Lonchura striata: one gene and its partners. The protein of the gene in region 2 purifies or fractionates together with the protein of the main gene of each other region. This does not show direct contact. Links are inferred from orthologs where the notes say so. Each region holds a gene or a part of one and is shown on either strand. Other genes may lie near its edges. The genes, in order: FHL2, CNOT1, CAPZB and OBI1.

Region 1 (7,743 bases), on a different chromosome or scaffold from region 2:
ATGGCCCAGGCCATCTATGTTTTAAACAGCCAACCTTTAAGTTATATTCTCCAATCAGCAAACAACCTTAGCACAATTTCAGTGGCAACCTAAGAGATGAGACATTGACTGATGCCACAAGCAGATAAACTTCTGCAGACATGAGTGCCTACCAGTCTGACCCCTTGCACCAAGGTTTTTAAAGAGGTCAGATAAGGATCTGGCCATAAAAATAGTTCTGCAGGCAGAGAGACAGAGCAGTAGAGGATAAGGTGATGGGAAGCATTTTAAACTCTCTAATTCATCCAAATTGCTCTATGTTAAACCAACTCTGCTTGCAAATAGCTGAAGGCAAAAATCTTACCTGTGACTTTATACGCTCTGTTCAGTACAGTTTGTGCCAGGCACAAGGACAAGGTTTGCCAAAGCCTTTCATGAGGGTCTGTCATAAAGGCATTGAATTTTGTAGCAAAAAATACACACTTCCCTCCTCACTTAGCACCATCTTCTATTGAAAATGAACATCACAGAGATATAAGAATAACGCCACATCAAGCCACTACTTGCTGTATCAACTTGGTTTTTCCAGAAGTGATGCCTCAGGCAAGTTTCAAAATTTAAATTTCTGCTATTCTTCACATTTTCCCAAAGCTATCTTTTTTTTCCTAAGCTGTTATAACTCCCTGAGAAATTCAGGTTCTGTGTGATTTCCTCCAGCTTGCCTCCTTCTGACCATGGGACTCACTGAACACCACAGATTCACAGAAAAACAAAGCTGGATCTTCTGCCCCTGGGCAAGATCAGCTGCAGACATACAATTTCTGACACATGTCCTGACAAAATGTTATCTTGTTCTTATTCAACAGCCTTTCTGAACTGTGTCAGCCTTTTCTGCTCATACCTGACTCAGATCTTTAGCTCAATCCATAAAAAAAACTTCATGAGTCCTGCAGTTAATGGAGGCCTCCAGAAGTTGGGCCAGAGGCAGCTCAAGTAGGGGTATGGACAGATGCCTGGACAGGTTAGGTTAGACAGCATTAACACCCTGCTATGTGCATTTCCACAGTGTGCCAGACTGATTTGGAATAAAACCCTTTCAAGGTTTTCCTCTCAACCCCTGTGCTGTGATAAAGGCCAAAGGAGTGAAGAACATCTGGCCAGCTGTGTTGTAGGTACTTAGAGAGAACAACCAGTGGTGGCACCATAGGTGGAGACATGCAGAGATAAGAAAGATTTTTTTTTTTCCATGGAAGCTGGTAGCCATTATCAAAATTCCTCTTCTTGGTACCAGTTATTTTGAAAGTTTAGCATACACACACCACAAGACAATGGGAGTGGTCTAGGACTCATCCTCAATCACCTTACATCTTCACTTCCCTGCTGCTGGCTGCCCATCCCACATTGATTGATTATTGCTGTTATGATTATTGCTATTATTATAAAAACTGCTATTAATGGTAATAAATACAGCACCTAGTTTAAATTGGATTCTATCAGTATTTGTCTTTTTAGTGGAGCAAAGTTCCTACTGAAACTTCTTACTGCCTACAAAATATTATTCTGAACCCTTTCTTCCATCATGCTCACAACACAAACATTCCAAATACTTTAGTTCACCAGTCACTCCTTGGACCTATCAGACATGTCTTTTGTGAAGAGCTCCTCTTTTTTAACAATAGATTGTTGTTTCAAGCAATACTTGGTGAGTCTCCGAGTTTTGCCAGTGGGTCCTGGTATCTTTGGAAAAAAAGGGACATTTATGAGCAATGCTGGTGGGTGGAGGGGTGTACATCAGGCATGTGAAAAGCATACCTTGTGGTTTTAGTGCTGCATGAATTGTAATCACTGGAGGTAGTGAGGTGCATTCCAGTCACTGTGACAAAGATAAAAGGCAAAGATTTGCCTTCCTAATTATTTATGGAAGCCTGGTGTTCAACTATGCAATGCTGTCATGGGTAGATTTCCTTTCAGCAATGCACTGCAACATTAGCTGTCCCTCAAAACATCCGCTCAGTCATTTTTGCATAGATGAATGGTGACATGACAGGAGAGCTATTTGTTGTACAGGTGTGACTGGAGTGTAGGGCACTGGGGAGGGGCTCCCTGTGCTCCCCAGGTACCTCCTGTTATACCTCAGAGACTCTATGAAGCAGGAACATGTATAGCTGCCCAAAAATTAATGTTTCAGCCATCCTGGGTGAAACTCCAGATGGATACAAGTCTTCTCCCTCCTCTCTTCCTTTTGGCTTTTCTCTCTTCCCTCTCTCTTCACTCCAGATTATACTCTGGTCAGTTTTAACATGCCATCTGCCAGGCATCTTTTAGTTAACTATTATCAGATGGCTTAGATAAATACTGCCTTATCCTGGTCTTGGCTGCTCATTCTTACCCATGAACTACTTCTCCTGCTAGGCAGAGATAATTTTTTTTCAAAAATGTGTCTGTTTTTTTGGCTGAGTGAATCACCTCGCCCAAAGCACCACTCAGCTTACTCAAAAGTGTAGGGACATTCTCACTTTTTAAACATCCTCACTATTTTAGACAGTGAGCACTGCTAAAGAAAACAGGACAAAACCTCCCAGATATTAACTATAAAGACTACTTCAGAAAGTGTTGCTCCAAGTCAGCCTTCAAGTGGAAATCATCCCTGGTGGAGCTGGATTCAGAGAGGGAAAAGGGCAAGAGAGCCTGTGATCTGCACATAATTTATACAGTTTTCCCCTTTTGCCACTGAGTGGTTTTCACCCAGCTGTGGCAGCACAGCACTAAAGGAACTACAACTCTGCCTGCTAAAACAAAGCTAATCCATGCACATGCTGGCCTGAGCTGACATGGGCTTGCAGCAGAAGGTTTTAAAGGAGATCTGCTTAAAGCCTGCTAGCAGCTGGAAGGTCATTTGCATGTCAGAGAACACTCTCGATGGAAACAAGCAAGCATAAACACCTACCCTTTACAAGCCTGCTTCCATGCTCAAAGAAACCTGATGCTCAGCCATGTGGAGAAATCATTTCTTTCCTCTCCACAGCATAAAGTTCACTGAAATGGAAAACAGCTCTTACAGCTGAGTACTCCAACTGAAATTATTAAGTATTTTTAATAGCTAGCAAAATGATGCATTTGCTTTATCTGTAACCATATAAATACTCTGTACTAAATACACTAAACCATTTATTGCAAAATTAGTTTGGCTTATAAACATACTATATTAATTTTAATGAAAATGTTTTGGTCTGAAAAAAATATTTAAATATTATTTCCTATCACTTTAGTGGCTTTGTAGAAAGGTGAATGTGATCCTCTATGTTTAAATGGTTTAAAGCACCCAGCTTAAACTGCATTACACAAGAACTTCTGTGTTGCCATTAATAGCCCACGCTTAATTTGAAGTACAGAGGAAAAATAATAATCAAAACCTGAATTTCCAACCATTCTCTAGTTTAAATAAATCTCAATCTCACTTATATTAAAAAATGTGATTTATTTGTTAAGTTAGCAGAATCTTAAAAAAGAGACACTAAAAGCAGAATTTATAAAGCATACTGCTTACCTGAGCTGCCTCGAGGAGCCTCTCTACAACACACGCTTGCACAGGCTCTCCTTTAAAACTGAGTTAATAGGGATTTAATGGGAAAACAGTGCCATACACTTACTTACCAGACTGGCAGCCACAGCTCTCTGCAAGGATGCCCTCCTTCTGCATCCTCATCACTGCTGTCCCTGCTGTCCCTGCAGAAAGTGGTGGCCTCTTTCCCCACATAAGGCTCACCCAGCACCAAAGTTGTACCGAGTGAATGGGAGGAAATGTTTTCTGTTTGCAGGTCAAGGAGGCCACTGTATTTTTAGCACTTGGATCCTTGCCCATCCCACTGCCCCTCTGGGATCAGCTCCCTACCTTGCTTTTTGAGCCCATGATCCAACAGTCCTAGGAAGAGACAAAAGCCTGTTCTCAGCACTGAGAACTCATGGCATGTTTCAGCCAATGGGCATTCACACATGTTTAAATTGTTTTCTGGCCCAGGGTCTTAGACACGTGCTAAGACTTTAGGAATTGATTCCAGGGAAATCAGTTTCATAATTTGGAAGCCACTGCCCAGCAAAACTCAAACACTTGTTGTCCTTTAGCTGTTGACACTAAGCCTGAGGACCCTCAAGTAAAAGTATAGGGTGGTCTGAAAGATGAATCTGGGAGGATGAATCTGAGTTATTCACATTTGGTCACAGCTCTTTTCCTTTCAGACCATAGGCAGGTGGCTCTCCACAGTGAAGTAATGCTCCGAGCAGGAGCTCTAACACCCCCCCCCCCCACCTTTGGGTGTGATTTAACAACCCTCAGGCCTCTGCTGGAGGTTTTAGTGTTTTACTGGAGATTTTTGTCACCCTTCAGTACATTTTATTCTGAAACAAATGAAATCACCTCTATCTATATGCTTCAATGATTTTAAAATATGATTTTATGTTATCTGAATGGTCGGTTAATACAGTGCAAGACTTCATATCCTGGAAAAAAGTCTGCATTCTTCACCAGTCATCAGCCCTGCAATAACTAACTCCCCAGAGCTGTTGAGACCATATTATAGCCACACATCCAGGTGAGGTCTGGCTCTTGCAGCAGGAGGCATCTGCATCTCTCTCTTCTGTAACCCTGTTAAGGCATGGCAGTGTGCCAGCAGGGCCATCCCTGCCAGGTCTGCTGATGGCCAAGTCTGCCCTCACAATTCCTTCTCCTGTATGACAAATAACCCTCTGTTTGCAGTTCTCCTCTACTGCAAACAGATAATTCTTGTTCCATCATATTACGTCTTCTATCAAGGAGAGCAGAAAACCTAAACTTGTGTGAGTTGAGCATGGGTTGCAATGGCCACAACTGTGATGGAGGAGTGCCTGCTTCAGAAGCAGGAGCCAAGCATATCTATCCTAAAAATAAACAACTTTGGGGCCCAGGATTTCAGACATTCATATGTATCACAGAAATGCCTGTTACAGCTCTTCAGCACTTTAGAACTGAAGTTAATAGCTACAGGCACATGGTGGGGAACCAGAGTGTAGATCTGAGATGTATAGAAGGTCACATATGACATTTGTAAATGATGATAGAGAAACTTCACCCACAAAGACAAATGAAAGAACCAGCAGGAGTTACCTGTGTCCCATATCTAACCTGTCAGGCTACATCTGTCTTATTTTGGGCCCACAGATACTGCCTCTTAAGGTGGTAGCTGTAACCTGGGTTATGACAGTAAGCCTGTAACCTAGGATTATGACAGTAATCTGTCATACTCTAGCTGCTTCAGTTTCCCTGCTTTCTGTCCCCAGAATGCAGCCCTGAGCACTCCCAGTGACCACCACATTCCTGAGGAATCAGTCATTTTCCACAATATCAGGCAAATAAAAAGGGATGGTTAAATTGTCACTGATAAAAAAGCAGCAAAGGTGTGATTGTCATTTGTCAACTCAGCCTCATGTGGAGATAAGCCTGAAGGTTAGTTGTACTGCCAGTGCTAATTTCTCCCGGGGTATGCTCCAGATGAAGCTGTACTCTACATCACAATCTCCCTTGCCAATGTGTGAAAAGATGTCTGGGTTAAGCCAGCCCAGGTATTCAGGCTCAGGTAAGCCTCACACCTTCCCCTTGCATGAAGATGTACTACTAGAGAGTGTGCTTGAAAGCTTGTCTGTCTTACAAGCTTAGACTTCTGTCACAGAATGAAAGAATCATCAAGGCTGGAAGGGATCTCCAAGATCAGCTAGTCCAACCATCAACCTAACATCACTATAATCACCCCTAAACCATAGTGCCAAGTGCCTCACCTCCTGTATGGTGTATCTTGATTTCAAAAAGAAAGGAAAACTTTGAGAAACTTTTCCTGAAGCAATTAATTTGCCTTTTTCCAGTCTCCTAAAGCCATTCCTATGCTCACTGACATATTAATGTCCCTTCACAAAGTGGCATTCGTAGGTGGCAAATCTAGCTGGTCTTTTCAATGTATGGTGCGTGTTTCCATGGATAACTCTCCCCATGGCTACACCACTGTCAACAAAACCTACTCCATCTCTCCAAAACTCTCCTCCTGCATGACCCCCCAGATGCCCACCTCTGCTACCACAACACAGGACAGAGCTGGCTCAGATGGGTGAGTACAGCCCTGCCTGGGTCTGTACTGAAGCCACTGAGCCACCTCAAAATACTCTTTAAAAAATCATAATATAACCCAGCTTGTTCTCCTGCTTGGTTCAGCATGTGCTCCCCCCCAAAAAAATGTAGCAGCACAAGTGAGAATGTGGCATTGGAAACTACTAGTGAAAGTGGGAGAGGATCTTCTAGCTGGAGTCACCATAGAAAGAAAATCTGTGGTATCACAGAAAGCTTTCTCCATGGTCAGAAGGTTTCAGGCTGAGTCTCTGTGTTTCCAACCATTTACTTCCAAGACAAAAACTAGTACAGGAGTTAACAGAGGTGGCCAGAGGGCATGGTACATATCTGTGGGTTTTTCCACAAAAAGATCTCGTCTAACACCACAGAGAGCTCACAACTTAGAATATAGAGCAGCATTATTTGGTGTGGGAAGGTGGAGAAACCACTCAAATAAACAGGACAGCTCAACAGAAGCCTTCTGCTACATTTGGGGTGTAAAATGGTCTTTACTTGGCATTTTTTTCTCTTGATAAGAGGGCATGAAATCTGCCTGAGAAATTCAAGTAACAAGAAGAATTCTGTCTAATGATTAAGGGAAATAAAGTACTGGGACCAGTTTGTGCATGGGGACTAGTACTATTTTGAGCACAGTTTGGGAGAGTGCTTGTTCAGTGCCATGGTTTAGGAATGGTTCTCTCCAAATCAGTACCCCCACCAAGACTCTCTCAAACAACTGCTCTCTCTTGGTCCCACTTCCCCTCCTGCTTCCCCGTGTGGTGGGATGGAATGAAGAACTGGAGGCACAAAAGTTGAAGACAACAGCTTGAGGGAAGAAAAATTTACTGAAAACAGCAATGAGATAAGAAAATAAACAGCAATAGTATTAATAACAAAATTATAGAGAGACAATTCACATGCAAAAATGCTCACCTTGGAGACTGTGACAATAAAGAATACCAAAGAAAACAATACAGTCTTTCCTCTTCCCTCATCATTTTAACAGAGGCATATAACAGGAGACATTTTTTAAACAAATGTAAACACAGGGTTATTACAGAGTGTTATGATCTGATTATTGAGTGATGCCTCTACCTCTGTAAATGAACATCAGTTATAACTTTCCAATTTCCATGTTAGCTAATTAATGAATTCCAATACTCTTTATTTATTCCTTTGATATCTCATGCTTTCACACATCAACAATGGAGAGGACCGCATTAAGCTGCGAAGCAGCTTTGTGTGTCTCAGGACTTCTGCCATTCCCTTTCACATCCTGACAAGCTCAGTTTAGGAAAGTGTACCATTTTGGGCCTAGACTATTATTCTACTTGCCATCATGGTCTCTGAACAGCTGGCTATCACTTATTCTTGTGGTTGAGTCCTTCGAAGCCCTACAAAGGGTCAAAAAGTCAAGACCTCTGGTCGCTAAACATGAAACAAAAGATGAGTCCGGAACAGTGAAGATTCTTCCAAAGTGCCTGCAGTCCCATTCAGAAAAGCAGGAGAGTAAAGTGGTCCCTTTTCACCATGTTCATCCTGGAGATAGGCTCTGCTGTGCTATAGCCGGCTATCTTACAGCAGCCCCCTCAGCAGGAGAGCAGGGACCTTGGTCCCTGAAATTCCTCCTGACT
Region 2 (7,725 bases):
AAAATTAGCTATTTTCAGTCACACATCCTATAATACAGTAATGGTTTAAGATACCCAGCACAGGACTCAGGAGCTCTTACAATATTACTATTTTATACTGGGAAACACAATCCATTTTAAAGAGATAAAAAATATTTACCAAATTCTACAGCATTACACACCCTCAACTCTTCCTAAGGAAAATGACAGCCCATCAGCAAAAGACATTTGTCATCTATTTCAGTAGATCTTTTTTCAAGAGCAGAGTTCTGCTGGATTAAAATATGAAAATATGCAATAAAATTTCAGGCAAACATCCAAAGATCATAAAATAGAGTGGGCCAATATGAAACCACCCATCAGGTGTGACCAAAGACACTCCCTACTAACCAGAAATCACTAGAGAGCAAGTAAGCCTTGATGCTGAAGTCGACAAACCTGAAGTCTTCCACAAATTCAGAAACACTCCTACAAAGGAAGTAATTTCAAAATTTCAATTACTTTAAGCTAACTTTGGATCTTTTTTTCAGAATTTTGCAGAAGTCAGTAACTATTGCCGCTGGATTTCAAGAGTTGTATGATTTCAGGGCACATGTGCTGCATGTGGAGGATAAAACAGATCAAGTGACACAAACAGCACTGTGTTTGCTGATTAGGTTCTAAACTCCTGTCACAAAACATCACATAAAACATGCTAAAGGGACCACTGCTAAACCTGCTCTCCAGAACAGTCTCTTACCCTCTTTTTAAACCCATGAACAAATACAAAACATGGAAGAGCAGTACACCTACATGAAGGCCAACACTGGGAGCAATCCAAGGGAAAAAGGTGGTTTTGAATCATACTATACTTTATATTTCAGGATGTCTACCACTTTGAAAACTACTGAGGAAAAAACCCCAGAGTGAAAGTCACATTAGCAGTAAAATAAGCTCCTGATTCAATTGACCAGTTCAAATTCAGGTGTATACAATCTGAAAAGACATCTGAACATTCCATACACTGGAAAGCTGCACCCAATTTCAGTAAACTGGAAGTCAAAAGATGATCAGACACAGTAACTTTAGTTTTCAGACTGTGGCTGAACTAAGCACCTAAGTTTTGCCTATACAGTCAGGCCAGTGAAGCTGCAGTTTGAAATCTACACCAAATACATGAGATATGCATCAAACATGACATGGCTACTGTAGATACTTTCTGATGTGAGATACTTTCACATCTCTACCTAAGACTGTTAAAAAAAACCCCAAAAAACAAGAAACTCTCACTTCCCAGTTCTCCTTCAGACAAGACCTGCAGAATTAAGTTTCTGCTGGAGGCACAAAAAGGAGGGACTTGTTATCAGATGCTTCATGGTTTTTTACCATCCAAAATGTGTTTTAGAATAGCTAAATTCTATTTTTAAAGTCAAAGAAAACTGCAGTGTTCATACTTTGGGGATGTTTATGGAACAAAAGGGAAATCTGGCTAAAATAGTGATGGCCTGAACTATGATTCTCAGTGATAACAATTCCTAACATGATTTAGTTATGTCCCATCACAGGGACACAAAACTTTACTGTCCTCTATCGCTAAGTTATGTTCCCATAGTTTCTCTTCCACTTACTCAGCTAAGCACCAAGAGTGGCCATTTCAGCATAAATCTAAAATCTAGGAACCCTATATAGGATAAAAAGGATAAGGTATTTCTCCAAAGAAGAGACGTAGGTAGGCAATAAACTGGCTGTGAGTTTGGTTTGGAGACACCAGGCCAACAGCAGTTAAGAGTGAACATATAAGCAAAAAGGCTGAAAGAATCAAAATAAAAATCGTAGAAAGGACAGCTCAGTCTACTACCAACTAAGGTTGTTTCCTGTTTACAAGAGAGTTATCCCACCTGGACTCACCCTGCCCATGATTTTAGCCAATGCCAAAGTAGTTACCTTAGAAACAGGAATCAGTTGGGTACACTAAGAGTGACTTGTCAGAGTCACACTTGTCTTGTTACCTGCTTAAAAAAAGCTCCTGAGAATAGTTGCCATGCTTCCTTACAAGTGGGATTCAGAAACAATTTGAGTACACGATATACCAACAGACTAGTGTTGTATCTGCAGTACTACCTCACTTCTGTTGTAAATACAGTCCAAACTGATTGTGGTTTGTTGAAATTAAACTGTGAATAGTTCCTATATAAGGAATAAACGGTACTAATCCAAGTTAGGAAACTATTGTAAAGAAGCTCTTGCAGTGATACAGAATCTGTCGAGACACCCAACTGTTGCTATTTCTAGTTTAGAATTAGACAAGTCTATTTTACTGGACAGTGTTTTCTTCACTGAAGGACAGCACTGAGAAGGACTTCTCTTCTGTGGTCTGCAAGAAGGTTACGTGGCCGGATTATTTACTAGAGCTCACTTTTCCCATATTTTCTGCGGGCAAGTCACAACACCGATCTCCTACTGAGGCCGCCGAGGCCGGCCGGGGCAGGCCCGGCCCGGAGTCCTCAAAGCTCCACCTGTCACCAGCGGCGTTACACAAGCCAAGGGGGAGAAATGAGCACAGCTCCGGAGCTGGCGGTCTCCCCGCCACCTCGCGACACCGCCGCCGCCTCCTGCCCCCGCCACCGAGCCGGGAACACCCGCGGCTCCCGCCCCGCACCCCGCGGAGTTCCCTCTGTCGCGCAGGGGCGGCCGCGGCACCGAGGAGTGCGGGGGGGAGGGCCGCGGGTCCCGCCGCTGCCTCTCGCACACCCCGCAGGGCGGCCCGGCCGGGCGGGTGCCTCAGCGGACTCCGCTGCGCCCGGCGCAAGCCGGCCCGGTCCCTCTGCCTCCGGCCCCGTCCCCACCGCGACCCCCCCCCCGCCCCGAAGCTCGCAGTGCCCCCACAGCTAGCCAGAGCAGCCCCCGGGGCCGGGCGGGCGCCGCTCCCACCTCGGCGGTGTCGTGAGGGCCGGGCCGGGGCCGCTCGCGCGCTTCTCTCGCGCCGCCGCCGTTCCGATACAAAATGGCGGATGGGGTCGCGCGCTCGCGCCGCGGCCTTTCCCCTCCCCCGTCCTCTCGCGGGGGGGGCCGCGGGGGGAGCGGAGGGGCGGAATGCGCGCGGAGCTGCCGCGCCCCCGCGGAGACGACTTCGCCCAATCAGAGCGCGGGGCCGCGCGAGAGCCGGCCAATCAGCGCCGCGCGACCTCGGGGGAGGGCATCCTGCCGCCCTCCGCGCGGAGCCTGAGCCGCGCGCCATTGGCCGCGAGGGGCCGAAATCCTTCCTACTCTTTCAGCCAATCAGAGCTCCGAAGCCCTCTCGGCCTGCGCGTGCGCGCCGACGGCCAACCCGCGCTGCCGAGGCCGGCCAATGAGCGAGGGGCGTCGCGCGAGGGCGGGGCGGGAAGGGGAAGTGGCGGGCGGTGCCAAAGGGCGCGCGGAGTCATGGCGGGGGGGTACCCCTCCCCGAGTGGTGCGGCCCGCCCCGTTCCCCCCGCACCTCGTTGTTTCCTCCCCCCAGTGGTGGTATAACCCCAGGAACGGTTCCCCCCCATTCAGCGCTGTGGTACAGGCCCATGAACTGGCGTCCCCTCCCGCTGCCTTGGTGCGGCCCGGGCGCTGCCCCCCCACACCGTGGTGGCTGTGGCTCCCTCAGAGCGCTCCAGCCGCGGGTTTTCCTTTCTAAGGAAATCCTCTCTCCATTTGCACCCTCCCGGATGGCCGGCCTGAGTTCCCGAAGAGGAAACTCCCTCCAGTTCCTTCCCGCCCGTCTCAGCCACACCACACCCGCCTGCTGGCCCCGGGGAGCGACACTGAGGTGCCGCTCCAGGACCGGGGCCCACAGAGCCTTCCCTGGCATCCCCCGGCTCTGGGCGCGGAGATACCCCGGAGGATGAGCGTCTGAGGAAGGCAGCGGGACTTCCCAGCTCCACACCATCCATCCCTAAGCTAGGAGGGCTGGGATGGCATTTCAGGATATGGCTTCATCCCTGTATCCCAGCCGGGAGTATCTCCCACAGAAACCACCTGATGCTGGCCTGACACGCATCACAATGTCACTTTTATTTAGTTACCTCCACTTTCTGCATGTACAAAATACATGTTAAAAGGCCAGTGTTTGTAAACAGGGGAGCAGTAAGGCAAACAGGAACACCCACAGCACCTCCAGACCTGCCCAGCCCTCAGCCATGGGAGCAGCAAGGGAGCCCAGGTGTTTCCCAGGTGACATGAAACATCGTGTCCTCCTCCACTTCGGCCAAGGCACCTCATGCCTAGCACACATTCAAGCAAACCAGAGCCACAGGACCCACCAGGTACCAAACCTTTTCATCTTCCTGCAGGGTGGGCACTGGGAGGCATCTTGGCATTGGCATCTGCTGAGCATCTCTGCTGGGCTCCATGGGAGGTGGCTCTTTGCTCCCCACGTCCAGGACAACTGGCCATCTTCTTTATGCCAAAAGGTCCCCAAGCCCCAGCTCCTGCTCACAGACAGGAGCCTGGCAAAGGGGCTTGGGACACAGCCGGTGCCATACAAGTGGGGGTTTGGTGGAGCCTGGTTTTGTCAAAAGATGAGGGCACAGATGCTGGAGACCCCTTGGGAGAGGAAGGAGGGATCTGTGCCTTCACAGCATCTTTCAAACATTCCTGCTGTGCTTTGGGCTTTTCTTCCTCCTTCTCTATCTGGGTCTTCCTGTCCTAATCAGCAATTGAGAGGTCCCCATTTACACGTAGTGTTAGTAAGGAAAGACCAAACATTCCCACACAGGGAAGCACCCATGGGCTGTTGCCCCTCCTGCAGCCACTGGCTGCAGTGGGAGAGAGCCACGTTGAGAAGTGTAGGAGCACAAGCCATGCTTCTCCTTCCCACCACAACAGCCTGTGCTGCTTCCAGAAGATGCATGAGGTGCAGGGCCAGGTTTTGCACAAATCTGGCCTGAACCCTTGTCGCAGATGCATCAACAGCTACAGCTGAACTCCTCCTCCCCAAGGGTTTTAGAAGCCAAACAACATAAAAAGAAAATCAAAGAGAAACAAGAGAACAATGCTATTGAGGTTTAACGCTCCCAACCAAATCTGCAGCTGGGGGAACTGCTCAACCCAGAAAAAGCAGGAATGAAACTATCATCCAGACAGGCAACAGAGGGACAGCCCAGAGCAACACCAGCCACACAGAGTGTAAATGAAAAAGAGAACAATATAAAACAAATTAATACTGACTGCTTTATCCCAAAAGCATCTCTTAAAACCTGGCCCAGTCCCATTTCCTGGACACCTGGAAGAACGGGATTGTAAATCTGGAGAAGAGCATTGCTCTATTGTAGTGTCTTCAGTAGGTTGATGCAGCCATAGCAGCTTCTCTACTGAGTGAGCAACCCCTGGCAAGGAAAACAATGCACTGGCATGTCCCTACCTTAGGGGCATTCTGATCCTCAAACGAAAAAACCTGAACAGGCTGAAGGCAACCCTTTGTAAAAAAGTGCAGCCCAGGCAGAGGGAGATGTGACCGTAGGGGCAGGAGACCGGCAGGAAACCAGAACTCAAACCAAACATTGACACAAAATAGGACTATGGGGTGTCTCCCTGTCTGATAAACATGATTACTATTTCCCTTTATGCAGAACACTGCTTCTCTCTGCAAAGTTGGGAGAAGGACTTTTAGCTGTGGAGAGGAGCTCCACCAGAACAAGGGTACATACATGAGAGCAGCATGGCTTTGCAAACCCCAGCCACGACCCCTTAGTGATGTCTAAGGGAGTGATGTCTACTCCCAGGGGCAGAAGGATGACAGGTCCCCTTGTAGTGTTGCTCTGGTTTCACCAGGGAGCCAGGGCTGAGAGAAGCCTGACTGCCTGCAGCCTTAAGACAATGAGATACAAACCACCACAGGGCTTCTTCAGCCAAGCCCCAAGTCACAACGGTTCTTTTGGATCTTCCCAACACACCAACATGTTTTCTTCCCACTTCCCTTTGGTCCTAGGGGAAATGTCCATCCCCTCAGCAGCAGCAGTGCAGTCCAGCCTGGAGGAGTCAGGCTGTAAGATCCGCGAAGATGGCATTGGCAGTAGTCTGTCCAAAGATGAAGGCTCCAAGGGTGACCATGAACACCCCATAGCTGACCTGGGCCCACCAGCTGTGGATGCAGGAGGACAGGGAGTATTTAGAGGGGTCCTTCACCCCAATATCCTGAGGGGAATGGGGGAGAGGGGAGGCACATTTCAGTTACCTGATTGCCCTGGTTTCTTGGATCTCAGAGAGCTTGGCTTGAATCAGGCAGAGCCCTGAAAGGTAGGGAAGGCACATTAGAACCAGATGAGAACTATCCACTGAGAACTATCCACTGGGGATTGAACAGACATCCTATAAAAGAGGAAGCTGCACTCCCTGTTACAGAGCTCCATGTCCAGTCAAAATAGTTGGGCTGCTGACTGGCCCCACACCACATTTTTGTCCTCCTCTAAAAATCTCCTGGTTCCTGTGTTTCCATCCTGTCCCTCCCTCTTTGAGACACAAGGCCATGAGAGCTTTGTCAGCCCCTAAGCATCACAGGATGCCCTACCTGGGAAGACAAAGATGAAGCAGGCGGCCAAGCCCCCAATGACAGAGATGACTTTGCCAATATCAGGGATGAAAAGAGCCAGAAGGAGTGTCAGGAGGAACCAGCTGATGGTCTGAAGCAGGCGCCTCCTCCGCTCCCGAACCACGTCCTCCTCCACTGTTACCCCGGTATAGCGGAGCCAGAGACCCTCCAGGACAGCCCTGTGGGCACAGACCCAGGACAGAGGGGTTTCCTTGTGCTGCTCCTCCTTCCCACATCAGCCCCATCTCTCCCAGCGCTCACCGGCCACAGAAGTGCAGGATGGGGTAGGACGTCAGCACACAGAGGATGATGAAAGCCCGGGCGAGGGCAACAGGGATGTCATTGGAGGGGTAGGACATCAAGACGTCCTGCTCCACGCCAGCTCCAAAGGTTAGGAAGCCACAGATGCCTGTCAGGAAAGGAGCAGTCAGCAGGGGAGAAGGACAAGTCTCCTGAACATCTGTTTGAAGGACCAGACTTAGATGGATATAGCACAGAGCACATTGCAGAGGTGTCCGATGGACTCTCCTCCCTTCTCCCTCTGACCCTTGCTGACCAGAGGGTCCCTGCCCTCCTGAAGCTCACAGCCACTCCAAGGACTGTGCCACACTCACACGGTGTCCCCTCACTTACCAGTGCCTGTGTAGACGAAGAGAGCAATCACCATGGCTGCTGTCACCACTGCCCCCCAGGTCTTCACCTCCGGCTGCTTCATGCTGTTAAAGACGGGCACGCTGCTCACGTGGCACTGCCAGGACACAGAGACAGTGGGGATACATGATGGCCAGACCACAGGGCATCCTACTCGTGATATTCAGCATGTGTTGTGATATTGTGATACTCCAGGTTTGTCACTGGAGAAGAAAAGCTGGAGGTACAGGATGCCCTGTACGTTCTAGCTGGGGTAAAATGGATCCTTCTCCATTCAGAGGTGGTGAGATGTTAAAAAGGTTTCAGTTTCCTTGTAAAACTGTGCATTGAGCACATGGGCAGGGTTTTAGCCAATCAACCAGCGAATTACACAGGCAGGGTTTTAGTCTGTCACCCAAGCAACCATAGGATGGAAGGGGGAGTGCCAAGCTCATGGCCTTACCTGGAACCCAAAGCAGATGGTGGGCATGGCATTGAAGACAGCTGTCCAGCTGGAGGGGCTGGCAGGAGAGAAACCTCCGTCAGTCAGACCAGAATCCTCTGTGACCCCCATCCAGTGC
Region 3 (7,301 bases), on a different chromosome or scaffold from region 2:
GATGATGATGAGCAAACCGAGTTCCCCAGCCATCCTTCACCCAGGGAAGTCAAGGGATGGATGGAAAGCAAAGCTGACAGCTGTGCAAGTAGACATTGAGAAGGGCAGCATGGTCTCTTTCCCAAAGAAAGTAATTTCTCAACTCAACTCCAGTAATAAGGACTAAAAATAGGCCCCCAGAAGAGCTGAGCTGCACTTTCATTCTGTTTCACTCCCAGATGTGAATTAGTCTCATATCAGCATATATATTTACCATATGAGGAAATCCTGTTTGAACAACTTCAGCTTGTGAATGTTTTTGCCTCCCTAATAAACCACAAGATTAAGCATCACTGCAATGGCAGTATTCCCTCTCCCAGTGATATCCTCTGATTTGATTATTTTGGGAATTTGCCGTTTAAGATAACATTTAGTTAAGCTCACACACTTGGCTTGCCTAATAAAACACAGACTCTACAAAACAGCTGAAGTTGGTGTTTCTCAAAAGGAACAAGGTGCAAAGGACTTGCTGTGGGTACTGAAAACGTCCCCACACCTCCACAGCACATTTTGGAGGTCCAAGAGGGATACAGCCAGGTTAGAGATGGGTTCTGATTCCAGACAAACAACTCCTATCCTGAAAATCTTAGTGGACCCTGAGCAGCACACGAGGTGCGTGTTGGTGTCACTGTCACATCACACACCTTGGGCTGTGCTTCACTGCTCCATATCTGCCTCACAAATCCTAGATGGATGATGCACAGCCAGCACTACACTAGACAGCCTGAATTTATGGATGATTAAATCATAAATTTTGTTAAAATTGTCCTCCTTTTTCTCAAGAGTTGCATAGCAGAAGAAATCCTTGCTAACACGATCAGGCCAGTTTACATAACCTGGAAATGAAGGGTTTTATTTTTACAAAGAGTAACTGGATTCCATCCATTCACAACCCACAATTCCAGAAATCTCAGCAGATCCACTCTCCCAAGTCCTGCTTTGCCCTGAACAGAGCATTCCATTTATTTTTAGCACAGGAGACACCATCCATCCAGGCAGTTTTCAAGCTTCATGTGTTGCCCTGCCCTGTTTCCCTGAGCACCTGACTGAAATGTGGGCACAGCTCCGAGCTCTCCGAGGAGACCAAGGTTCCCAGCTCTGCTCTACACAGACATTGGTAGCCCTGTGGTACCATGAAGGTGTCTCACCCAATATCCTGCACCATACCAACTGCTCCCTTCAATGAAAGGGCCATTCCACCCTTTCAACGCTCCACTTCTGGTCTCAGACCATTAAAAGTAAAGATCCTGCAAGCACCCTACACGCTGGGTTTGCACATGAGTTGAAACTGGAGGCTGCAGGTTCATCCCTGAAGTCCACTCAACATTGGAAACCAGCACATAGTGTTGGAAGTTCTGATCCAATTTCTCCTATGCCCAGTGGTTTGCACAACTAAACATGAAAAAAAACAGAAAGCAGCAAAACCCGGTAACAGTCAGGAAATTTCCAAAGGATTTGTGCTGTACCTCCTCCAAACTACTGACACAGTTACATTTAAACCCTGACTGGATTTTCCTAACAGCACGTTTTATATCCCATTCAAAGAAGTTGGTACCACTGTTGTTACTTTCCATGAAGCCTCCTTGTTTTCTTTGAACTCTTTTCCTGTGACAATTTTTGCAGTGGCATAAGTTAGGACAGTTTGTTGGAATCCCAGTTTGAGACTCTACAGTCAGGTCTTGCACACACAGATTTCAGTGTGTTACAATTAGGTACACAGCTGGAATAAGATGCTCCATCCTGCCAGGACTCAGGTATGGCACCTGCTCTTGTTTGAACCAATAAGGAACAGAACTTTGGTCATAACTGTTCTTCACCTTTCACCTCACATTAAAGATCTTTATCCTGCATGATACAGGTGGCTCCAGCTCCAGAGAAAAAACATAAGGCATCGCCTCTGAAATTCCTATGGATGACGGCAAGAAGTAAAGGATTACACTCGTGTGGTTAAACAGACTTCACACTGCTGTAGAGCCAGGCTCTGGGTTGATCTTTTATGAACTAAACACATTCAAACATTGTTGAATTGTCATGTTGGAAAGCCTGAATCAGAAATCCCCAACAGCACAAAGTGATGTGATTCCCTACAAGTGACTCCATGGCTGAGGAGGCTCGGGAAGAGCCCCGGCCAGCAGGCAGGGAGCGGAGCAGGGCCTGGGCCCGCAGCTGGAGCGGCTCCCTTTGCACAGCACCAAAGTGGCACCGAAAGGGTTTGTGCCCCGGGCCAATCCGTTCGGGAAACACAGCGGGACGGAGATTATTCCACACGGCTGAGGCAAGTGGGGCTGGTCCGTGGGAAAGGCAAGTTCCCGGGCGTGCGGAGCAGCACCAGGGCTGCAGCAGCCGCTGCTCGGGCAGTGCCCGGCTCTCGGTGCCCCGCAGCGCTCCCGGTACCGCACGGGGGGAACAGCCGGCCTTCCTGCGGGGAGCCACGGCCGCCGGGCCCGCCGGGCAGCGCCCCCGGTACCGCTCCCCGCCGAAGCGGAACCGTTCCCTGGGTAATTCCACATCATTCCCTCTGCGAGCACCGCCCGGGACCGGCACCGGAGAGCTGGCAGTGACCGGGCAGCGGAGCCCCGGGGAGCCCCCCGCCCCCGGGCCCTGCGGTGCGCCGGGCAGAGCCTCCGCTAGCCTTAGCCCCCCCGCAGCAGCGCCCTCAGGCCGGGCCAGCCCTCCCCGCGTCCCGGCAGCACCGCCTGGGCCGCCCCTCCCTCCGTCCCCGCCGCCCGGGGGAGGCCGGGCGAGGCCCCCCGGTGCGAGGGGGCGGTGTGGGCGCGGGGGCTGCTGCGGGGGGGCCGTGCGGAAGGGCGGGGGCCGCGGCGGGGGCGCGGGGCCGGCCCGCTCTCACCATGTCGGCTGGGCGGGTGCGCGGGGCGGTAGAACGGCGGCGCCTCCCGGTCCGTCCCTGTCGCTTCGACGCCGCGGCCCGTCCGCTTCCGCCGCCGCCCGGCAGTGAACATCCGGGTCAGCGCCGCCGGCCCCGCCCCGCGCCGCTCCCCGCCAATCAGCGCGCGGCTCGCCGGCCATCGCCAAGTATGGATGCGCGGCGGCGGGGCGGGGGGGCGGGGCGGAGCGAACCACGCCACCGGCGCGGGGGGGACGGCGCGCACGGCGGCACCAACTGCGGCGCGGGGGTGAGCGCGGCGGCCAATCAGAGCGCGGGGGCCGGCCCGGGGCGGGGCCTGCGGGGGGCGCGCCCGCAGCGCGGGGCCGGCCCTCAGTCGGTCCCGGAGCCTCCGCGCGGGAACGTCGCTCCCTCGAGCGCCTTTAAACGCACTTGTTTTAGCTTTAAACGAAAGGCAGCACGAGGCAGGCGGGTAGCACGGCAGACGCCGCCCAGAAGAGGTAACGAGTAGCAAACTCGTAAAGCTGGGTTTTGCAAAGGTAAACTGCACTTTATGCATGCCTGTAAGGTACCAGGTCTAAAGTGATGTGGAAGAAGAAGCAGCCTCCAGCTGCTTAAGGCCAGGGATAATTATTAATTATTTATTATTTTAAAAGTAATCGTGAATTATTTTGAAAAGGAAGTGTTGGTGTTGGGAGGTACCTGCTGGAAGCCGTGCAGATGCTGACACACTGGAGGCCTTCAGGGCTCAGGCACTTGTGCCAGGGATAACGGGATCACAGAAAATCAGGGTATATCTACTAATAAAGCATTCCTGTTATACTCAGACTGTCTCAAAATAAAGCATTTGTTCCTTTTACTGGAGTAATTCCCATTGCAGGGATTTCAGGTAAGACATCCCAATTCCAGACTCCTGGCCTGTCCTCAATACGGGAATCTCAGAGCTACAGCAGACAATGATCCCAGGAAAATGTAAGGATTCGTTAGCACCAACAGCTTCCTCTGCAGCTTTTTATGGAATAGGTCAGGCCTTGTTTCACCCCAGTTTTATTACCAAGACCCCAAAAAACCTCCATTGGGACTCTGTACTGCAGACTTGGCCCTGGGGAGCCAAAAGCCTTTCCCTGGGTTTGCTGTAGGAGCTGGAAATGCCAACATGGGGTGAAAAAAGGGCTTTTTCCTTGGATGTCACAGACACAACAGTCACACAGGGCTTGTACCATGGATGTCACAGACTCTGCAGTCACGCAGGGCTTTTCCTGTGGATGTCACAGACAGCAGTCACACAAGGCTTTCCCTTGGATGTCACAGAGCTGTCACACAGGGCTTGTCCCGTGGATGTCACAGAGCTGTCACACAGGGCTTGTCCTGTGGATGTCACAGACTCTGCAGTCACACAGGGCTTGTCCTGTGGATGTCACAGACAGAGCAGTCACACAGGGTTTTCCCTTGGATGTCACAGAGCTGTCACACAGGGCTTGTCCCGTGGATGTCACAGACAGCAGTCACACAGGGCTTTTCCTGTGGATGTCACAGACACAGCAGTCACACAAGGCTTTCCCTTGGATGTCACAGAGCAGTCACACAGGGCTTGTCCTGTGGATGTCACAGACACAGCAGTCACACAGGGCTTGTCCTGTGGATGTCACAGACACAACAGTCACACAGGGCTTGTCCCGTGGATGTCACAGACACAACAGTCACACAGGGCTTGTCCTGTGGATGTCACAGACTCTGCAGTCACACAGGGCTTGTCCTGTGGATGTCACAGACAACCCCAATTTCCAGGGCAGTGAACAGCTTGGACGTGGATCGGGTTACAATAGCCAGAGACAAGACTGCACTACATGAATTTGCACCACAATGGAGCCCGTGCAGACAGAACAGCTCTCAGCGGTGGCAGAAACAAAATGAACCCGGAAGGGTGGAGAGAAAACAGTAGAACGATGTCAGGAGAAACAGGAACTGTATTCGTCCACAGAAACACAAAACCACATAAAACTCCATCAAGAGACAGTACCAAACAAACCCAAAGGTGGGAAATTACCCTTCCACATTTGGGAGAGAAGCCACATGACCTCAGAAGGCTCAAGAGACTCCAAATTCAGTTCTTTGCCACTATTCCTCAGCCTAACCTCCTTCAATCCGCTTTGTCAGATGGAGCAATCCCAAATGGCTCCTATTTTGCAGTTCCCAGATCCTCCTCCAGTCCTTGCATTTCCTCCCAGCTGCCTCCCAGCAGTAATTAAGAAAAGCAAACCTGTTCATTACAATGGCCAAATGATTCCATTTTTGTCCAGGGATCCACACATCTAATGCTCCTCAGGGCTGGGAGGCCAGAACTGATAAATTTGAAAATGTCTGTTCTAAAATTCCCTCTTTCTGTCACAAAATTCATGCAAAGTACTCAATGACAATTCTACTTGTAGCAGCTTTTAGTTTTGAACAGAAACAGCTCCTAGCTGCTTGCTGGAGCAGCACAGCAATAGCAGAATTAGGCAGCCCAGTATATTTCAAACAATTTGAGCTCTAAATGAATGTTGAGGCCAAGAGGATGTTTTTCTTAGCGGAAGAAATACAAGCATCCTGGATTTTGTTCTCCTGCAAATAGGTATAAAGAAGAATAAACAGCTGCTTTTTGTTTTCCCAAAAATATTTGCATTAAGAAGATCTGCAGATTCATTTTGAAATTGATGTCACATCTTTTTTCAAATGAGGACCAGCTGTTTGCTTTGGTTGTTTATAGCAGGCCATGTTTCAGGGATTTTTTGCTGTTTGTTTATTAAGATGTAGGACCAGACTGCTGCAGTTTGGTGTGGAGAGTGGATCCCAGCAGGCAGAAAGTCCATGAATGTCACCACCATCCCACTTGTGTTGGGATTTGTGGAGGGGTTGACACCAAATGCAGCAAAATCAGGGATATTCCATAATCCAAGTGCTGTGAGGTAGGTTCCCTGTGCCTCAGGCATTTCCCAAACCTGCAGGAATGGATCACCCACCTACAGGAAAGAACACTCCAAAGGGCTCGTGGCAGGAATAACCCCTCTCTAAAACAAGCATCTATAAACAAAGGAAGCAAACAATGATGTCAGTTGACATCTTAAGGGCCCAACAACATCAGATTCATGTGCAATTAATAACGAGTCTTTTGATCCTGCAATCAGCAGCTCTAAAATCCATGTGCTTTCCCTGTACATTTGATTACATTCGAGGAAGCAAAAGGATAAACACTTATTAGCATTACAAAGTACTTTTCACATTCAGCCAGAACTTCCTGAAGCATTTGTGATCCAGCACGATGTGGTTTTTATTTTATCCTCCTGCATGCGTGGTGAAACGCTATTTATTTGTTTATTCCAGCATTTATCCAGGACCAAGGGTGACTGTGAGAACATGCTGAGGAACAATGTCTGAGAGAAAACCTTCATGCTTCACTGAATAGTCATTTTTTGTCATAAAGAAAGAAACATCTTGATTTTTTTTTTTTTTTTTTTTTTTTTGTCAGATTGCCCATTTTCTTTCATGGCACTTGAAAGATATGTAAACTTTTATTGGGAGTTCTCATAAATTGAATTTATTGCTGCAAGAGTCTTCCAGCAATGGTAAAGTTTAGCTTGCTGGGTTTTATTAGTCAGAGTCAGTAAAACAGCAGCATCACTTGGTCTGAGGCTGAAAACCGAGTGTTTCTTGGAAACTAATATAGGAAAAAGGTACCTACAACACTACCCAATGTCTTGGAATTCTATGTTCAAACCACAGATAGTTCTCACTATGGAGATCTTGGTACACAGTGTCAAAATAGTACACAAACAATAAAAAGTCCCCATCCTGAATCCAAAGCAGCTTTGCTGAGTGTATTCTTGGAATTTAAAAATTTTTAGAGTTTCCCCATTTCCTGCATGAACTGATGAGTAATTCCAAATACCACGTTTAATGAAAAACAACATATCGCCCATTTAGTGTGAGGTTTGAGGCATTCCCCTCCCTGCACTAAGAATGTTGGACCAGACTTTTTTCCACTCCATCAGCACCCGAGCAGATCTGCTCCTTTGGTTAATGGAAAGGATAAACCCAGCAGCAGCCCAAGGTGTCCATTCACTGCAGGACTGCTGGGAGCCCTCGTGTTCCAGCACATCCCACTTAGCTGCACATCCTAGGACACTGTTCATTCCTCTTCTTGCAGCTGCTCCTTTAACTTTGTATTTTCAGCTCAGAAAACTGGAGAGACAGAGTCTTTAGCCTGAGCAAAGAAAGTATTGAGGGCATTCTTGTCAAACTTGGTCATTAACTAGCAATAACGTCTGTGGTTTTTCATTAAAAAAGAATCAAGGAGAAGCTGATTAAATACAGCAGAAAGAAACAAAATTTTCCATTCCCTTACTTTTTCCTTGACACGTTGCACTTCATTTGAAGCCTG
Region 4 (6,940 bases), on a different chromosome or scaffold from region 2:
TGAGAATAGCTGCATGGATGGTGATGATAAGATACAGAGCAGAGCAACATAAAATAATCCAAACAGGAAAAGACGTTTCATGAGTGCAGGTTTTCCCCCTGGGGAGCAAGAGACCCTCAGTTACCCCAAACCTGACACAGAATCACACATGAATGATTACTCTATATCTTTAGCAAAATAATAAGTCACATGTATTACTCTCCAGGGTACAGTGCTTCTGATTTACACACCTTTACAAGTTTCATTTCAGGGCTGGGGTTTTATACTTCAGTTCACTCAGGATCCACACAAAGCAAGGCACACCAGAACAGCAAGAGCCACTATTGAAATGTCACACAATGGCTGGTGCTGCCACTGCCCCTCCCACCAACTGTGACAAGCCTAGGGGGTAGGAGATCAGGACATACCTACTACTAAAAAAGCATTTTACTTGAATTACAGCACAGTTCCAGTGCATTCATTGACCATAATATCCAGAAAGACAACCGTTTATTTCAGAAGGCTTAATCAGCTTGGTAATTTTGAGCTATTTCCTAATTTTTCACCTCCAACATAATGCCATCCCTATGCAGATCAACATCCAATCCTGTACACATTGACTTCACTTTGAAGGCACTTCTGGGCCTTCAGGCAGCACTAACGGAGGAGCAGGCACATGAAAAATCAGACACACCCAGTCAGTGAACCAATCCCAGATATCCTACACTGTTTCAACCAACACAGAACAGCGTCTTGAGCCCAAGCAACCTGTCGACACCAAAACCAACAAGAGAGACCTCCAAACATTCTGGGACAAGAAAAACAGTCTGAAGCAGATGGCTTCTGATCTGCTACCTAATTAAAAAATGCAGCTGTGTTAGAAGATGGCCCAGACTGTACCAAAAGAATATTCAGGTAACAAACATGAAATTGATACAAGCAATTCACTATTACTTTAAATGGTTATTTGCACATCTTGCCAATATACTTTCTGACATTGTTCATGTTAACAAAATGGACTAACGTGTCCCTGCTACCCAAGACTTCAGCTCCATCAAGAACAATGAGTGGCCAACTCATTAAAAGAATTTTTCTTCAACATTTCCTTTTTTATCCTCTTACCATAATGCACAGAGAATAGTTTGTATCTTGCAGTCAAACCTTTGCAAATTTTGCAGGGATAGAAAGAGAAACACTCTGAGTTTAGGGTAGGCCTTCTACTTGATTTGAAGTCTATGCCATAAACCACAGAAGTATCAGTATTATGTCAACCCTCCATGATACTCCCTGCTCTCCCCTAAAAGGTAATAAAAACTGACAAGATTTTTTCCTTAACACAGGCTAAACAAATTCCTTTCTCCAACCTTAATAATCCTGAGAAAATGGGTTTTTCTGGTGAACTTTTTCAATGAAGTTCCAAACTAGAGACAAAGATGTCTGTTAAAAAGAAAGGGCAGTCAGAGTTGTCAGCTTTGTCAAAATTTAAACAGATTTACACATCTAAAAGTGAGAGCATTTAAATATCTTTATTACATTAATCACCAATAGATTCACAATTCATTTATATATGTTAATGTATTGTCTCAGTGCAAGAGAGCAAGGAAGAGGGTGGAAGCCTCTTCCAGTACAAACTCAGGAACATCTAAAAAGGAAGTGAAAGTATGAAATAGTGGCTTGGAATAACTCAGTGGCTTTACAGCAAGATATGAATGAACACCTAACCAAACTGTTAAGTGCTTAGATCAGAAATTAACTAGGAACAAATAGCAAATATCTTTGTCAGTTTAATTTCACTCTCCTCTTTTCACTCCACTTTTTGCAGAGTGGAAGGTATCCATGCTGCATTACATACAGAGTACACTTGGGTTCTACTCCATTTTCATTAGACAGATAAACAGAAAAAAGAAAACTAACATGACAACAGCCAGGAAATCTTGCTCAGCTTCCACAAACAAACAAACAAACAAACAAACAAAAACAAAAACAAAAAAAAAAAAAACCCAAGAAATGAGTAAACGTGGTTGCTTAAAGTAACACGCTGTCAGAATTTTGAGACTTAAGGGACCACTTTCTGATCACTTTCACTACTAATGCTACACGCCTACTTCACACACCAAATGCTCCCGCTCTTTTATTATCACTCCAACAGAGAAGGTCTGGGAGCGAAGGCCAGGTGAGGTAGAAACAAACCAGACAATACGTGCCAGAGTACAAACACAAAAGGCTACTTCTTCACTTGTAATTATGTTGTGCTTTAAGAAAAGAAAACGAGAGAAAAAAAAAAAACTAGTAAGGAATGCGCAAAGAATTTGAGAAGCAATTAGTGACAGCCATGAAATTGGCTCTGGGGCTTTTAGAGAAGAACAGACTAGTAAGAGCCCTCTTCTTCCCGAGGGAAAAGAAAAAGGGACTGAGAAAAGGTCGGAGAGGAAACGGGAACTTTTTGTCCAGACTGCTGCAGTTTTGCTGAACAGTTTAGAAATCTGCTTGCTTATACGCCCCCTCTTTGTTTCACTTGTCCTCCACGACACAGCACTACACTCAAACACAGGCTCCCCGAGCGTTTACAATGGAGCACCCTACTGGTAACGGGAGAAAGCCCCCAGACGCCAGCACCTGCCCCTCGGGAGCTGCACACGGCATACCTGGGGCCCTCCAGGCCCATCCTACACCTCCCGGCACGATCCCGCCGGGACAACGCGCGCTTCCCAACCTCCCGAGGCTGCCGGCAAGCCCCGGCCCCCGCCGGGAACGGCGCACACCCCAATTCCCTTCCCCGCACGGAGCCGCGCAGCCTTAAAAGACACAACCCCGGCCACAAGGGTCAGAGCGCCCCAGAGCTGCCGCCGCCGGCCCGACCTCCCTGCCCCCCGCAGCCAGCCCCGGCCCGCGGGGCCGGGCAGCGGCGTTACCTTGCCCAGGCAGATGTGGCAGGTGATGGGCAGCGTGAGGGACAGCGTGACGCTGGGGCCGTGCTGCGCCATGCGGGCCCGAGCGGCGCGGCCCGGCCGGGCGGCACGGAACTCCGCGGGCGGCCCCGGCCCCGGCCGCGCTACGGCAGCCGGCGAGGCCAAGCCGCCGCCCGGCGCAGCGAGCGCCGCGCGCTGTGCCGGCGCTGCCCTGCAGGCGGGCGGGAGCCGCGGCCCCTCGCGGCCCCTCGCGGCCCCTCGCGGCCCCTCGCGGCCCCCCGCGGCCCCTCGCGGCCCGGGAGCCCGGGCAGGTCTCAGCCTGCGCACGGCATTCCTGGGGGAAGCACGGCGCCATGGGGAGCGCAGGCACAGTGCCTGTGCAGGAGGGCGACGCGGTAGCAAGGATGGTCTTCTTTCCCCTGGTAAACCTTTGCTGTGCTCAGGTTTCATCATGTTGAATAAAGATAAACGGCTGTTTTAATTCTGTTAACTGTCCTGAATCACAGAATCGTAGAATTACAGAATAGAATTACAGGATCATAGAATGGCTCGGGATAGAAGGGCCCTTAAAGACCATCTTGGTGCATCCCCCGCGCCATGAGCAGGGACACCTTCCACCAGACCGGGTTGGTCAGAGCTCCATCCGGGCTGGCCTTGAACGCTCCCGGGAATGCGGCATCCGCAACTCTGGGCAACCTGTTCCAGTGCCTCACCGCTCAATCTCTAATATAAACCTACTCTCTTTCAATTTTTCAATCCGTTCCGCCTTTTCCTGTCACTGTGTACCCTTGTAAATAGTCTTGGCTCATCTTTCCTGTAGATTCTCTTCAGTTACTGGAGGGCCCCAATTAGGCCACCCTGAATCCTTTTCTAGCCTGAACAATCACAATTCTCTTAGCCTTAGGAGAGGTGCTCCATCCCTCTGACCGACATGGTGGCCTCCTCTGGTCTCACTCCCACAAGTCTTTGTCCTTCCTGGGATACGGGAACATGTTCTTGTGTTCTAGGGGAAACTCCCAGGGCATGAGCCCCCCTTCCCCATTACCGCCAGTCCATCTGCAGTCTCACGCCTCACATCACTGCTGGGTTCCCACACTGCACAGGCAGCTTTGCTTCTTGGCCCCACTGCATTGCCAGTCAGCTCAGGTGGGATTTGCACAGCCCGCAGCTTTGGGAGCAACAAAAAAAATGAGGACTGGGATAAATCCTCATGCCCTGCAAGGTGCTGCATGTGATGATACCATGTGGAAGACTCTGATCCATGGAAACCAAGGGGCCAAATCTAAGGATGAAAATTTTGCATCTGCCATCCAGCTTGTGCCAACAACTCTCCAAATCATGGAGCTTTTCTGTTGCACTTTCTGGGCTGCTGGAAAAAAGCGGGGAAGCACTGCTGGGGGGATATAAGGCTCCTAGGAATCTGCTTGCTTGACCTCAGTCCCAGGATTCCTGTAGTTTCTTGTAAATGTGCCACAGCATGCTGAAAATTACAGACTTGAGTGATTCAACATTGCACCACAAGATAAATGCTTATAATGCTGAGCAGCTGATTCAAACAAGCAAAAGTTGTGGATGCAATGATTAACAAGGAAAGTATCTTAGACTGACACAGCAGAGTTGCACGGATGCATTTCAATTTGGTATAGGTAAGTCACTGCAAATAAAGCGAGAGAACTAATCCATGGTGACATTCCAGCATAGACAAGACCTAGCGGATTTGGTGTTAATGCAATGCTTGAGTAGGAGAGGGCGGGTTTGAATAAGGTGTGCTTGATAAAAATTGAGTGCTTACATGTTACAACACTTTTTAGTAAACTTCAGGAAAAAGTACTGTCAAATAAGAAAAGAATAATTTACCAACATAATGCACATATCATTAATTAAGATAGACTGGAGTGAGTGGACATGCACTTCGAGGAGATTCTTTTAGTCTTGGTACCACTGACATGCTGCTTAGGTAGAATGGTGGTAAGAGAAATTTTTTCAAGGGAAATGTAAAATTTTTGAGATGTTTGAGCTTAAAAGAGAGCCATTGGAGCCTGAAATTCATTCAGTGAGTTTATTGTGCAGCCAGCAAACTACACAGGAATGCAATGAATCTCTCTTATTTATCTTTTTTAGCTTTATTTTTATATTGACTTTTATTGAAAAAATGTGAATAGACAATATCGAGAGTAGAAAGGGTAAATGCATGAAAGAGAAATCAAAAGCAGGGAAATGCATCTTACATTTGACATGTGAAACTCCTTTAAATGAATCTGGGATGAAGCAGGAACCCTTTCAAAGGCATGACTTCCACTGCTTCAAAAAAGTGTATGTAACTGGAAAGTGACCTGTTAGAGGAAAAGCTCTGTTGGGATGAATATATTTTCTCTCAAACAAAAATAACTTGTAAAGGAGTTTATTTTCCTGAATAAGCTGCTAAAAGGAACATGTTTTCTCTTAAGGAGGTTAAACGTATTTGTTTAGTGGATTTCTGCTGAAGTTGTATGCATAGACTGTGAAGGAGTACTTAAAAAATTATTTGTGATCTAGTAGCGCCTCAGGTTTTGTTGAAATTTATGGGTTGATGTTACCAACTTTTCAGGGGTATGGAAAATACTTAGTTCTGTAGTACTGAAAGTGAGACCTCAGGGAGCAAGGAGAAGGGAGCTGGAGGGGTAACAATCTGCTGCAGCTGAGGGGAGCTGAGAAATACCATGTAAATGCAGGAGGTAACAAATGTTTAACAGGTCCAAGGGATTGAACACCACAGTCCATGTAGCATGAAGGATACTTTTCAAAGGGCTGGAGCCAGGATGAAAGAGAAAACAATTCCTGAAATGCCTGGCATACCTCTGCTGCTACTGGGGCAAAAGGATCAAAGAGTCAGGCAGTTTTCCAGCCATATGGCCAGTGCTGGTAAACCTATAGAAAAAAGATGGGTTAAAAGCCGAGACTCTAACTGTGAATGATCTTCTAGTATTAGGGCTTCATTTGTGAAATGCTTCAGCAACTTCACTACCTGCTCCTGAAATCTCAGAAACCTGAGAGGAATTATAGTGGAAATATGAAAATAGCATCTGTCACAAATTGTGGAAAGTTCTTTGGTGAGAGCTTCAAAAGAACAAATATAGGACAAGAAAAAATGATCAGACAACTAAGACATTTCTTTTCTGCTTGAGTTTAGTTCATAAAGATTAATAAAGTTAACATATTTTTGGCTTAAAGTACATCAATTCCTGTATTTTGGATCTGTGCATGTTTCCCAACAGTGTGCAGAGAGAGGAAGGAGCAGGTGTAGGTATGAAATGTCTGTCTTCTTGGCTGATTAGCCCAGTGATAATTAATACAGTTGCATTGCTTCCAGTGATTTGAATATATATATATTTAGATGTGGGGCTTTATGCCATGAAAACCTAACCTAAAGGTCAGTTTTTTTACCAACACAAGTAGATATAAACCACTGATAGCCAAACTCTTCACCCTCAGTGTCCACTTCTGCAACAATGAAGTCTGTTCAAATTGGCTTTGAAGAGCTTTCTCTTCAGAACCAGACTGGATGAATCTTCAGCTTTTATAAAAGGGTTTCCCAGGTGGTTTTGCATGATTTAGGGGAATATAGGATGAAATTTGCCTCAAACTGAGTAAAGAAGCATTGGGTTCTAGGTGCCTAATTCAAACCTGTGGTTATTAAAGGGTGAAAACAGCTTCCCCTTCCTCAGGATTTTACTGTTGAGGAGCCCTGCAGAGCGGTGGCCTTACTGGCTCCTGTTGTGAGACACCATCTCAGGGACTCACTGGCTGCCATTCAGAGGCCATTCAGTAGAAATATGTAGCTCTCAGATACCCCTGTCTATGCTGCCTGAGGACTGTAGGCTGCTCTTGCCATCTGCTCTCTGGGAGTTCCCATGTGGCTTTAATTTTAAAATGTAAGCAAATTTCATCTCTCTCTTTAAAACAGTGCTTTGGGGTTTGGCTGCAGAAAAAATTTGGTGTTTCTGGAAGGGAAATAAAATGAATGTTAGAGGCCAGAATATCAATCTCTGGCCATTAGGTAAGAGAACTGGGAC

The links.
Region 1: the proteins of CNOT1 (region 2) and FHL2 purify together in Homo sapiens (affinity purification with mass spectrometry; 3 studies listed by BioGRID and IntAct, with this or other methods). This does not show direct contact. The link is inferred for Lonchura striata from reciprocal best matches to the Homo sapiens genes CNOT1 and FHL2.
Region 3: the proteins of CNOT1 (region 2) and CAPZB purify together in Homo sapiens (affinity purification with mass spectrometry; 5 studies listed by BioGRID and IntAct, with this or other methods). This does not show direct contact. The link is inferred for Lonchura striata from reciprocal best matches to the Homo sapiens genes CNOT1 and CAPZB.
Region 4: the proteins of CNOT1 (region 2) and OBI1 purify together in Homo sapiens (affinity purification with mass spectrometry; 3 studies listed by BioGRID and IntAct, with this or other methods). This does not show direct contact. The link is inferred for Lonchura striata from reciprocal best matches to the Homo sapiens genes CNOT1 and OBI1.

The regions. Positions count from the first base shown.
Region 1 is NC_134604.1:89,246,685-89,254,427, forward strand, and holds the start of FHL2 (four and a half LIM domains protein 2), read right to left. Parts: upstream 3,011-7,743; 5' UTR 2,927-3,010; intron 1-2,926. UniProt on the Homo sapiens protein: May function as a molecular transmitter linking various signaling pathways to transcriptional regulation. Negatively regulates the transcriptional repressor E4F1 and may function in cell growth.
Region 2 is NC_134615.1:16,321,903-16,329,627, reverse strand, and holds the start of CNOT1 (CCR4-NOT transcription complex subunit 1), read right to left. Parts: upstream 3,020-7,725; 5' UTR 2,890-3,019; intron 1-2,889. Other genes in the region: SLC38A7 (sodium-coupled neutral amino acid transporter 7), read right to left, coding at 5,965-6,067, 6,161-6,215, 6,494-6,693, 6,776-6,923, 7,148-7,262, 7,608-7,665.
Region 3 is NC_134626.1:7,422,634-7,429,934, forward strand, and holds the start of CAPZB (F-actin-capping protein subunit beta), read right to left. Parts: upstream 3,005-7,301; 5' UTR 2,891-3,004; coding exon 2,888-2,890; intron 1-2,887. UniProt on the Homo sapiens protein: F-actin-capping proteins bind in a Ca(2+)-independent manner to the fast growing ends of actin filaments (barbed end) thereby blocking the exchange of subunits at these ends.
Region 4 is NC_134604.1:48,208,414-48,215,353, reverse strand, and holds the start of OBI1 (ORC ubiquitin ligase 1), read right to left. Parts: upstream 3,017-6,940; 5' UTR 2,964-3,016; coding exon 2,892-2,963; intron 1-2,891. UniProt on the Homo sapiens protein: E3 ubiquitin ligase essential for DNA replication origin activation during S phase.